2 linked regions of the Callithrix jacchus genome follow. Each later gene encodes a partner of the first gene's protein in a complex. Links are inferred from orthologs where the notes say so. Each region holds a gene or a part of one and is shown on either strand. Other genes may lie near its edges. The genes, in order: CRB1 and PALS1.

The links.
Region 2: the proteins of CRB1 (region 1) and PALS1 are in contact, whole or in part, in a crystal structure (PDB 4UU5), measured with the Homo sapiens proteins. The link is inferred for Callithrix jacchus from reciprocal best matches to the Homo sapiens genes CRB1 and PALS1. Residues at the interface, in NP_957705.1 of Homo sapiens: Ala1401, Met1402, Glu1403, Arg1404, Leu1405, Ile1406; in NP_071919.2 of Homo sapiens: Lys261, Pro266, Leu267, Gly268, Ala269, Thr270, Val271, Arg272, Asn273, Ser281, Arg282, Val284, Val314, Asn315, Val317, Phe318, Leu321.

What each region holds. Positions count from the first base shown.
Region 1 is NC_133520.1:24,126,638-24,131,083, reverse strand, and holds the start of CRB1 (protein crumbs homolog 1), read right to left. Parts: upstream 2,904-4,446; 5' UTR 2,754-2,903; coding exon 2,684-2,753; intron 1-2,683. UniProt on the Homo sapiens protein: Plays a role in photoreceptor morphogenesis in the retina. May maintain cell polarization and adhesion.
Region 2 is NC_133509.1:102,221,006-102,225,528, reverse strand, and holds the start of PALS1 (protein PALS1), read right to left. Parts: upstream 3,035-4,523; 5' UTR 2,897-3,034; exon of another isoform or gene 2,777-2,896; intron 1-2,776. UniProt on the Homo sapiens protein: Plays a role in tight junction biogenesis and in the establishment of cell polarity in epithelial cells.

The sequences.
Region 1 (4,446 bases):
AGGTTCTATTTGTTCTTCATTCTTTTGGGTATATTAGAAAGAAAGTACTTTTAAAAATTACTCCATTCAAATCAGTGACTTAGTAATTGCTACGAGTTTTCAGAAGATTGAATGCTACCCCAAACTCTTTGACGTTGTTCTAGGAACTCTAATAGTAATTTTATCAAACCACATTTTATTTACATGCTATGACCAAACTTTAAATATAGATTAAAACAGTTACTTTTAAATTAATCTAGATGTGGTATTTAGATTGTCAATGTTTAGTTAACTCCCAAATTTATAAAGGACTAGAGAAAGAAACATTGCTTTTCTAATTCACAGTATGGTAGTTTCTGTAAAACCCTTCACAACAGATTTGTATATCAAGGTCCCAAAAAGTTCATTATGGAGTACTCTTATTATTTAAAACAATCTCTGAATAATGGACCACAGGAGAGTCTCTTTCTAATAAGTTTCTCTTTTAGTACATCAGAAGCAAAAAATAATAGCTCCTTTTGAATTAGTAAAACTTAGCTGGTCTCACACATTAGAACAAGTTTTGCAAAATGATGGAACAGGTATGAAAACCATCAGGACAAATTCATTGCAACTTCAAGTTAGAAGAATGTCTACCTGCTCAGGAACAGAAAGTGAATGTCACTTCCTGAATGCTGCTCTAATATTCTTCATGTCATGTATCCTCAACTGGAACACATAAAGGGCATTAGACAAAACATAAACAGCATTCCCCCGGTAGCTGAGCAAGGCAGAACTCTAGATCAAAAATACAATATGGAGCTGGAGGTGATTATTTTATCTTAAATTTAAGGGAACATGTTTCAAAGTTCAAAAGGAAGAATCATTAATTCCCTCAGTTAATATGGTATTAACAACTGAAATTTATTTTTCCCTTTCTTTTCATGTTTTGAGACAGAGTGTAGCTCTGTCGCCCAGGCTGGAGTGCAGTGGCAGGATCACAGCTTACTGCAGCCTCCACCTCCCTGGTTCAAGCAATCCTCCCACCTCAGCCTCCCTACTAGCCGATTGCCAACAAATATATTAACATGGACAAAAGTCTACCTGCTTAAAAATAGAAGAAAATGAGACTTCAAATTTACTTTTTAAGATAAATAAAAATACTGTACTGTAGAATAAATCAAATAATTACAAAGTATTTAGAAATACTTTATATATACAAATAATTACAAAGTATCTATCAATAAATACAAATGATTACAATCATTTTACAATAATTACTATCAGAAATACAAATAATTACAAAGTATCAATCGATAAAATCACCTACTCAAAGAGAGCAAAAACAAATGATGTATATGTAATTATCGATGTATAGTTATTATACTCAATTAAAGATATTATATATTCATTTCCTTTAAAACAGACTGCAGCAAACTCTAGGAATTTTCATATATATTGCATTGAATGACAAAGCTGTTTGCCATAAACTACATCATAAATTCACTTCACATTCATTTTATATCTTATATCTTTTTTCTCATTTCTTATTTCTCCTACCTGCACAACTAAACACACCACTTCTCTTCCTCATTTCACATTATCTGGGGCCCACTTTAAGTTTCAAGGAGGGTAAATAAGTACTAAAAGAACAACTCTTTGACAAGTATATCTCTGAAAAAAAAATCCTTTGTGCATGTGTGTTGCAGTCAAGTATTTCACTGTTCATTTGTTAAAGTCTGACTTGGTTTCTCTGTACTTGCCTTCCGCTACCTACCCAGGGCATTTACTTATTTCTTCACCCAAACTCTGATATATGTTCAGCTATAAACTGTGCTAGTAACAATCTCACTGGTACAGCCACAGAAGTTGACCCAGATTACACAACACTGTGTGCTAACGCCAAGTTGTCTTGTTCAACGACAGCTGCTCTATGCTTTGCCTTATTGATATTCAGATTCAACAGACACAAATCACATGGCCCCTTTAACATGCACATACTCTCCCTGTCTTCATTTTAAACGTGTTCAATAGCTACTGTCCTTCATAAACACACAGCTGGGGCCGTTTGGTCTCCTCTGATTTTCCATCCTGCCATAGAACTGACAAGATTATCCCAGAAACATTGTTCTTGTTACTATTTGGGGAAGTTCATGAAAAATAACATCTTCATTTATAAAACAGAAGCACCTAACAGTAAAAGCCCATTTCTCTGGTGAAAGAAACACTTTGAACCATTACTTTTTGGGAAACACTGAGACTATCCCCCTGATTATGAGAGCAAATGTTGCAATACAGAGTTATTTTAAAGTGAAGATAACTATATAGAATGTGGGAATAAAATGAAATATAGCTCATGAATAACTTTCTTTTAAAGGATATCAATTAGCAAGTGCCAAATCTATTCTGTAGAAGTGTAAACACAACAAAATATCTTCTTTTCTATGTGACCATTTCATTCTCCAGCTCACTACTACAAAAGCTAAAAACAAAATTTCTGCCCATGAATGCCTATTGGAAATCACAGAATCTTAAAATTGACTGTTCACATAGACTGGTATCACTGATTTTTTTTAACACAGAACACTTAAAAAAACAAATAAAAACTTCCTTTTTTAGCATTGTATTTTACAGAACATGCAACATGATCCGTTATTTGTAAGAAATATAAGCCAGAAATAAACCAGGAAAAATGCCCAAAGTTCAAGACACGGGAAAGGCTTACTTTTTATGTAGATGAGCAGTGAGAAACTGAGGTAGAAGATAAGAAGGTACTTAATGTTCTTAAGTGCCATGGTCGTCCTCAGAGAACATCCTCTGATGTGTTGTTGCTGGTCTGGTCTGGTCTGTCTCCTGAGGCCAGTCCGTCTCAGAGAGGAGCAGGTGCCTCAGAACTCCCAGGTGCCATCTCTGTCCCACCCCACTACGGCTCCTTCACAGAAAACACAGGGACTTAGATTCAAAAAGCAGTTTGTGCTTCTTAGCATCACTTACGCTGGAGAATGGGGTGATTTTTCAAACCTGGTGCAGATTTTTTTCAGGCTGGATTGGATTCATCCCCACCTCAAGCCTTTGATACGAGTTTTCTTCTGTTAATGCTGGCTCCTCCAAAGGTCCTACATTAGGATAGTGTCTTCAATTGCTCTCAACAGAGGGATTAATTTCTGATAACTGTCTTGCCACACAATTATGATCTGGCAACTTTTAAAGGAATACCGTATGTTCCTATGTATTTACTTTCATCTTCAGAACACAATTCACAGACATTTTTTTCTGTTTATAAATTATATTCCCACAACTCAGATTTCTGTTGTTTATAAGCTGTGCCAAGATAGACGAAAACTTAAACTACTGCATAAAATGAACAGAGTTCTGGAGATCATTTAAGGGCAGATTTTGTCCATAAACCCAGAGCTCATTTTATTCTCGGTTCATGAAATTACATGCTCTGGGATTTCTTGAGCTTTAGTTTTACCATAATTGATGAATGCGAACATGTTTGCTTATATAGAAAATATATTTCTTTTAAATACAACAATATTTTTCTCAGATTAAATTGTTCAAGTTCTTAAAATTGTATTTTTATTAGATACTTCATGAAAACATCCATTCTTTAAAATCTGAATGCTAGCCTGTAATCCCAGCACTTTGGGAGGCCGAGGCGGGGGATCACGAGGTCAGGAGATCGAGACCATCCTGGTCAACATGGTGAAACCCCGTCTCTACTAAAAAATATATACAAAAAATTAGCTGGGCATGGTGCGCGTGCCTGTAATCCCAGCTCCTCAGGAGGCTGAGGCAGGAGAATTGCCTGAACCCAGGAGGCGGAGGTTGCCGTGAGCCGAGATCGCGCCATTGCACTCCAGCCTGGGTAACAAGAGCGAAACACGGTCTCAAAAAAAAAAAAAAAAAAAAAAATCTGAATGCTTTCTTCTCTAAGTGGTGTTAGTGATAGTACAGAGCCTTTTTCCATTGTTAAAACTGCTCACTTGTTACAGTTTAAAATGCAATTTCTGTGGCTGTTACAAAGCTTTATAAATCTGCCAGCTTTTTAAACTATATAACGTATAGTTTGAAGTCTTTATATTTTCTGCCCATGTATCTAATATTGTGATAATCAGCTTAATGTCTTTTATCAATATTATTCTCTCACATACTCCCAGATTTACTTGCTAGAGTTTAGCCATTTAAAATTATTTAAATTTTATAGAATTCATGACAATTATTATTTTTAAAAAATTTTCTTCTTCTCATGCAAATAATTTAACTCGGGCAATTTTTAACAATTAGAGTCAAAGAATTTCACAGTACAGAGGCGTTACTAACCCCCTGTTTTAATCCGTGCGTTTTGTCAATTGGAGAATTGAGAAGCAGGGCAATTAGTCTGTGTGCCCAGTCTTCTGGTGGGTCAGTGTCAACATTAGGACCAGAGTCTTCCCATGATTTCTAGAACATTAGTTCTTCAATCAATCTTGTGAAGTCTCTTTT
Region 2 (4,523 bases), on another chromosome or scaffold:
CTGCCTGTTAAGCGATTTGGAGAAGACAACTTGCTGTTTTAACACTAAGACATCCTGAGACGTGCACTGAACATAGAATATGGAGACAAGTATTTTAGTATATGCATGTAGCTCCAAGTCTGCCACTTACTAGCAGTCAGACTATGGATTACTTAACTCCTGCAAGCCTCTCTTTTTCATGAAAAATGAAGAGGTTAGACTATATAACCACTAAGATTACTTCCAACTCAACGATCCTATGATTCAGTAAGAATATGATAAAAAATTATATTCTAGCAATGGCTTGTGCCTGTAATCCCAGAACTTTGGGAGGTCAAGGTAGGTGGATCACCTGAGGTCAGGAGTTCGAGGCTAGCCTGGCCAACATGGCCAAACCCTGTCTCCAATAAAAATATGAAAATTAGCAGGGTGTGGTGAACAGCTACTCAGGAGGCTGAGGTAGAAGAATCGCTTTAACCCAGGAAGTGAAGACTGCAGTGAGCCCAGATCACACCACTTCACTCCAGCCTGGCCGACAGAGCAAGACTCTGTCTCACAAAAAGAAAAGAAAATTATATTCTAAAGCACATATGTCAAGATACTATCTTTTCTAGACACCCTGAAATCAGAAAATATCAGAGAAACAGGGAATCTCAGTATTACATAAAATTAATCAAATTTCTTGGAATGTCTGATAAAATTTTATTTAAATTTTTTCATGACATAGCCCTCAGGAGATCCTGAGAACATGTGCCCCTGAATTGAGATTTTTAATCAAGATTATAATTCTAGATCATGTAAAAACTAAACCCACTGTACTGACTTGGGTCACCCTGAGGTAGAACTTACATATTGTCTGCTTTAACATTCTAAAACAAATTAATGTTAATCCACCTTTACTTGTCAAGTTCAAGTCTGTCTAGCCAAAAATCATTCAGATACCTGCTAAAGTTTACTCGTTTTTTTTTTTTTTTGAGACGGGAGTTTCGCTCTTGTTACCCAGGCTGGAGTGCAAGAGCGCGATCTCGGCTTACCGCAACCTCCACCTCCTGGGTTCAGGCAATTCTCCTGCCTCAGCCTCCCGAGTAGCTGGGACTACAGGCACACGCCACCATGCCCAGCTAATTTTTTGTATCTTTAGTAGACACGGGGTTTCACCATTTTGACCAGGATGGTCTCGATCTCATGATCCACCTGCCTTGGCCTCCCAAAGTGCTGGGATTACAGGCTTGAGCCACCGTGCCCTGCCGATTTTTTTTTTTTTTTGAGACAGTCTCTCTCTGTTGCACAGACTGGAGTGCAGTGGGGTGATCTCAGCTCACTGCAACCTCCATCTCCTGGGTTCAAGCAATTCTCCTGCCTCAGCCACTCGAGTAGCTGAAATTACAGGCCTATACCACCACACCCGGCTAATTTTTTGTATTTTTAGTAGAGATGGGGTTTTGCCCTGTTGACCAGGCTGGTCTCGAACACTGGACCTCAAATAATTCACCCGCATCGGCCTCCCAAAGGGCTGGGATTATAGGCGTCAGACACCGCACCCGGCCAAATTTACTAGATTTTTAAAGATAAAATAATGAATTGCTTTTCCTATTTTTGCCTGTTTCATCTATAAATCTCTTACATTATAATTTAATAGCTCATCCTGCTGCAAATAGAAAGCCTACAAAACCTATCCACAATACACTATGTCCACGGGGACCTAGTAAAAAAAAAATTGGTAGTTCATAATTCAAGAAAGCTTATTTAGTAACTTTCATGACCACCAATACTTCAAAGACACCAATAACCAACACGTCATTTGTTCCTATTGCAGAATTTAACAGGTAATTAACCTCCTGTATAATCCAAAAGCATAATTAGTAAACCATCATTAAAACATATTTTTAAAATCAGAAATATTAACACCTTTCACTGTGTCAGTCAAATCAAAATTTCAAAATTTTTGTTCAACTGACTTTCCAAATCTAAATTCTTACTATTGTAAACGAGTATGGAGACAAAACACACACTACATACCACATCTAAAAACTTCCTAGCCATCAGATTTTAATTTTAGCATAAACTGTCAAGAAAAACCTTTCGACCGAAACCTACATTCCAAACACATTACTGTATATCAATCAAGTAAACAGGTGAGTTATTATCTTTAGAAAGTTATATTATTTACTACAAAGATCGTTTAATCCAACCTTCAATAAACGTAGATTACAATTTACAGGCTTCAAAGTTCAATGTGCAAACTTATATTATCAGAAACCATTAACAAAATTAGGCTTTTATTTAAAAGTGGTCACAAGGAAGCAGGAACTGTTTGCGTGTTTAAGAACGCAATGAGTAGCAGAATACCAGCAGCTGAGTCAGGCAGAGGGACGCTGACTACTTTCCGACTTCCAAAGGAAAGCGTTCCCTAGGCGATCTCCCCCACCCGGCCGGGAGAATCCAGCTCGTCGCGACCTCCGGGCGGGGGCGCAGGGGGAAGACCACTGCCCGCGGCGCCCCACGCACCTCCGGCCGGGCAGGCTGTGGCCCGCGCCAAGGTGCATGACCGGCCAAGGAGAAGGAGCGGGCACCGCGCCGGCAGCGTTACTCCGAGGGACAAAGGGTGGGTTCACACCCTCCACGGCCACGGCTCCCGCGCCTGAGGAAGACCGCCTGGCGGCCGGGGGTCCCCAGCCCGCCGGAGTTTGCACGGCGTGTGGGGGAGGGGGAGTCCGACCGCCCCTCCCCCGCCGCGCTGCCGGAGACCTGTTGATTAAGATCTCCACAGCCCAGCCGCCACCAATCCGCCTCTTACCTCCGCGCCCCGGCTCCGCTAGCCTCCCGCCCCGGCCGCTCCGAAGCACTGCCGAAGCGACAGCCCTCCGGCGGCCCTTAAAATACCGGATAAAGAATCCAGAAACTCCGGACTCCTCACCTCAGAATCCTTAGACCCCGCCCCACAGCCAGCCTCCGCCGTCGCCGCCGCCGCCGCCGCCGCAGCCGCCAGCAACTCCACCTCTAGACCGCGCGAGACCGGCCCCTGCGGCCGCCGCGAGACCGCGCACGCGCCCCCGGGACTCTGGCTCAGCGGGCACACGGGTCCCAGTCCCACCCCTCCCATGAGAGGCTGTAGCGGCTCGCCCAATCCCTAGCCGGTGCGGAGAGAGCGCCCGTTCATTGGTCGTCTCCTCAGTTCCCGCCGGGTGCGCGCACTGGCGCGCCTCCAAGTCTAAAACGCGAACAGCTGGGGGCTGACTGGCCCTGAGGAGCCCCTCCGGGGTTTAGCGGGCGGGTTCTGTGGTGTAGACGCTAAGGCTTCCCTGGGGCTTTACAGCCCTTGGCTCTTCTGTTTCTGGATGACGGTTTCTGACGAAAATATGATTCTTGAAGGTATTCCTCGTGTTCTGTCAAGTTAGTCACACAATCTAACATTTGTTTAAAAAAAAAAAATGACGTAAACACCTGGATGTGTGCACTGTCCCGCAGAAGACTCCAGAAAGCCAGCAGCTGCGCTGACTTCTGAAAACCAGAAAGCAAGGATGGCAAGGGCTAGAGCTATTTCCCAGAGGTCTCCTGAAGGGACAGAGAGTTACGCAGGCCAGCCCATGCCCCAGGCACGGCTGGCGCCCTCGGGACCTGGATGTGCCACCCTTGAAATGGGCAGGACTCAGGCGGGTTCGGGAGGAAGTCAGAACAGATTGGAGTACGTTCTAAGGAGAAATGCCAGCAAATGTGTCTTGACACTTCCAGTAAAGCCATCGGTTGGTCTCTGCCTTGACAGTACCTTCCGAGGAACCCCATCCCACCTTCGAACACGTGCAGGGTTTGTTAATCGACCTCTCCTTCTATGAGGCCAAAATCTGCCTATGACTCCAGCCCAGGGCCACAATTTCCCCCAGGGGCACAGTCCTCCCTCAAAGCCTGCGGATATGCTATTTCTCACGATTTTCTTCATTTTGCCCCACCGTATTTTTCCATTTTGCAATCTCCCCAGATCCTGACTTTCAAGTTCTTTCACATTCTTCCCCATTACGCTCTTCTGGACAGCCTATGGGTTGTTAGTGTACCTCCTTAGGGACACAGTGATGCCCTGAACGAAGCAAACCATTGCTCCTGGTGGTGAAGATCTTCGGGATGCCTACCCTTCCCAGATTTGTTATCTTTCTCAAATCTGATCAGCATTCTGTCCAAGTGTTTAGTAACACAGAGCCGAGGACAGAGCTCTGCTACATGCCTCTAAAGACTTTAATACTCCTGCCTTCAAAAATTTCTCCGAAGGCTTTGAGTACAGATGGACAGCACAACCAAAATGTCTTCTTGGCCCGTATTCCTCCACAAAGATGCAGTGAGAACTGGTGAAATGCCCAACTGAAATCCGGATAAAGTCTGTCTCCAGGATTCCTAGAAACCATTAGCCATACCCCAAAAGAAAAAATGGTTAGTGTGTGTGACTTACTTTGTTTTCTAAGTTATTTTGTTTGTTCGTTTGTTTTTGTTTGAGACGGAGTTTTACTCTTGTCACCCAGGCTGGAATGCATTAGCAGGACCTCAGCTCACTGCAA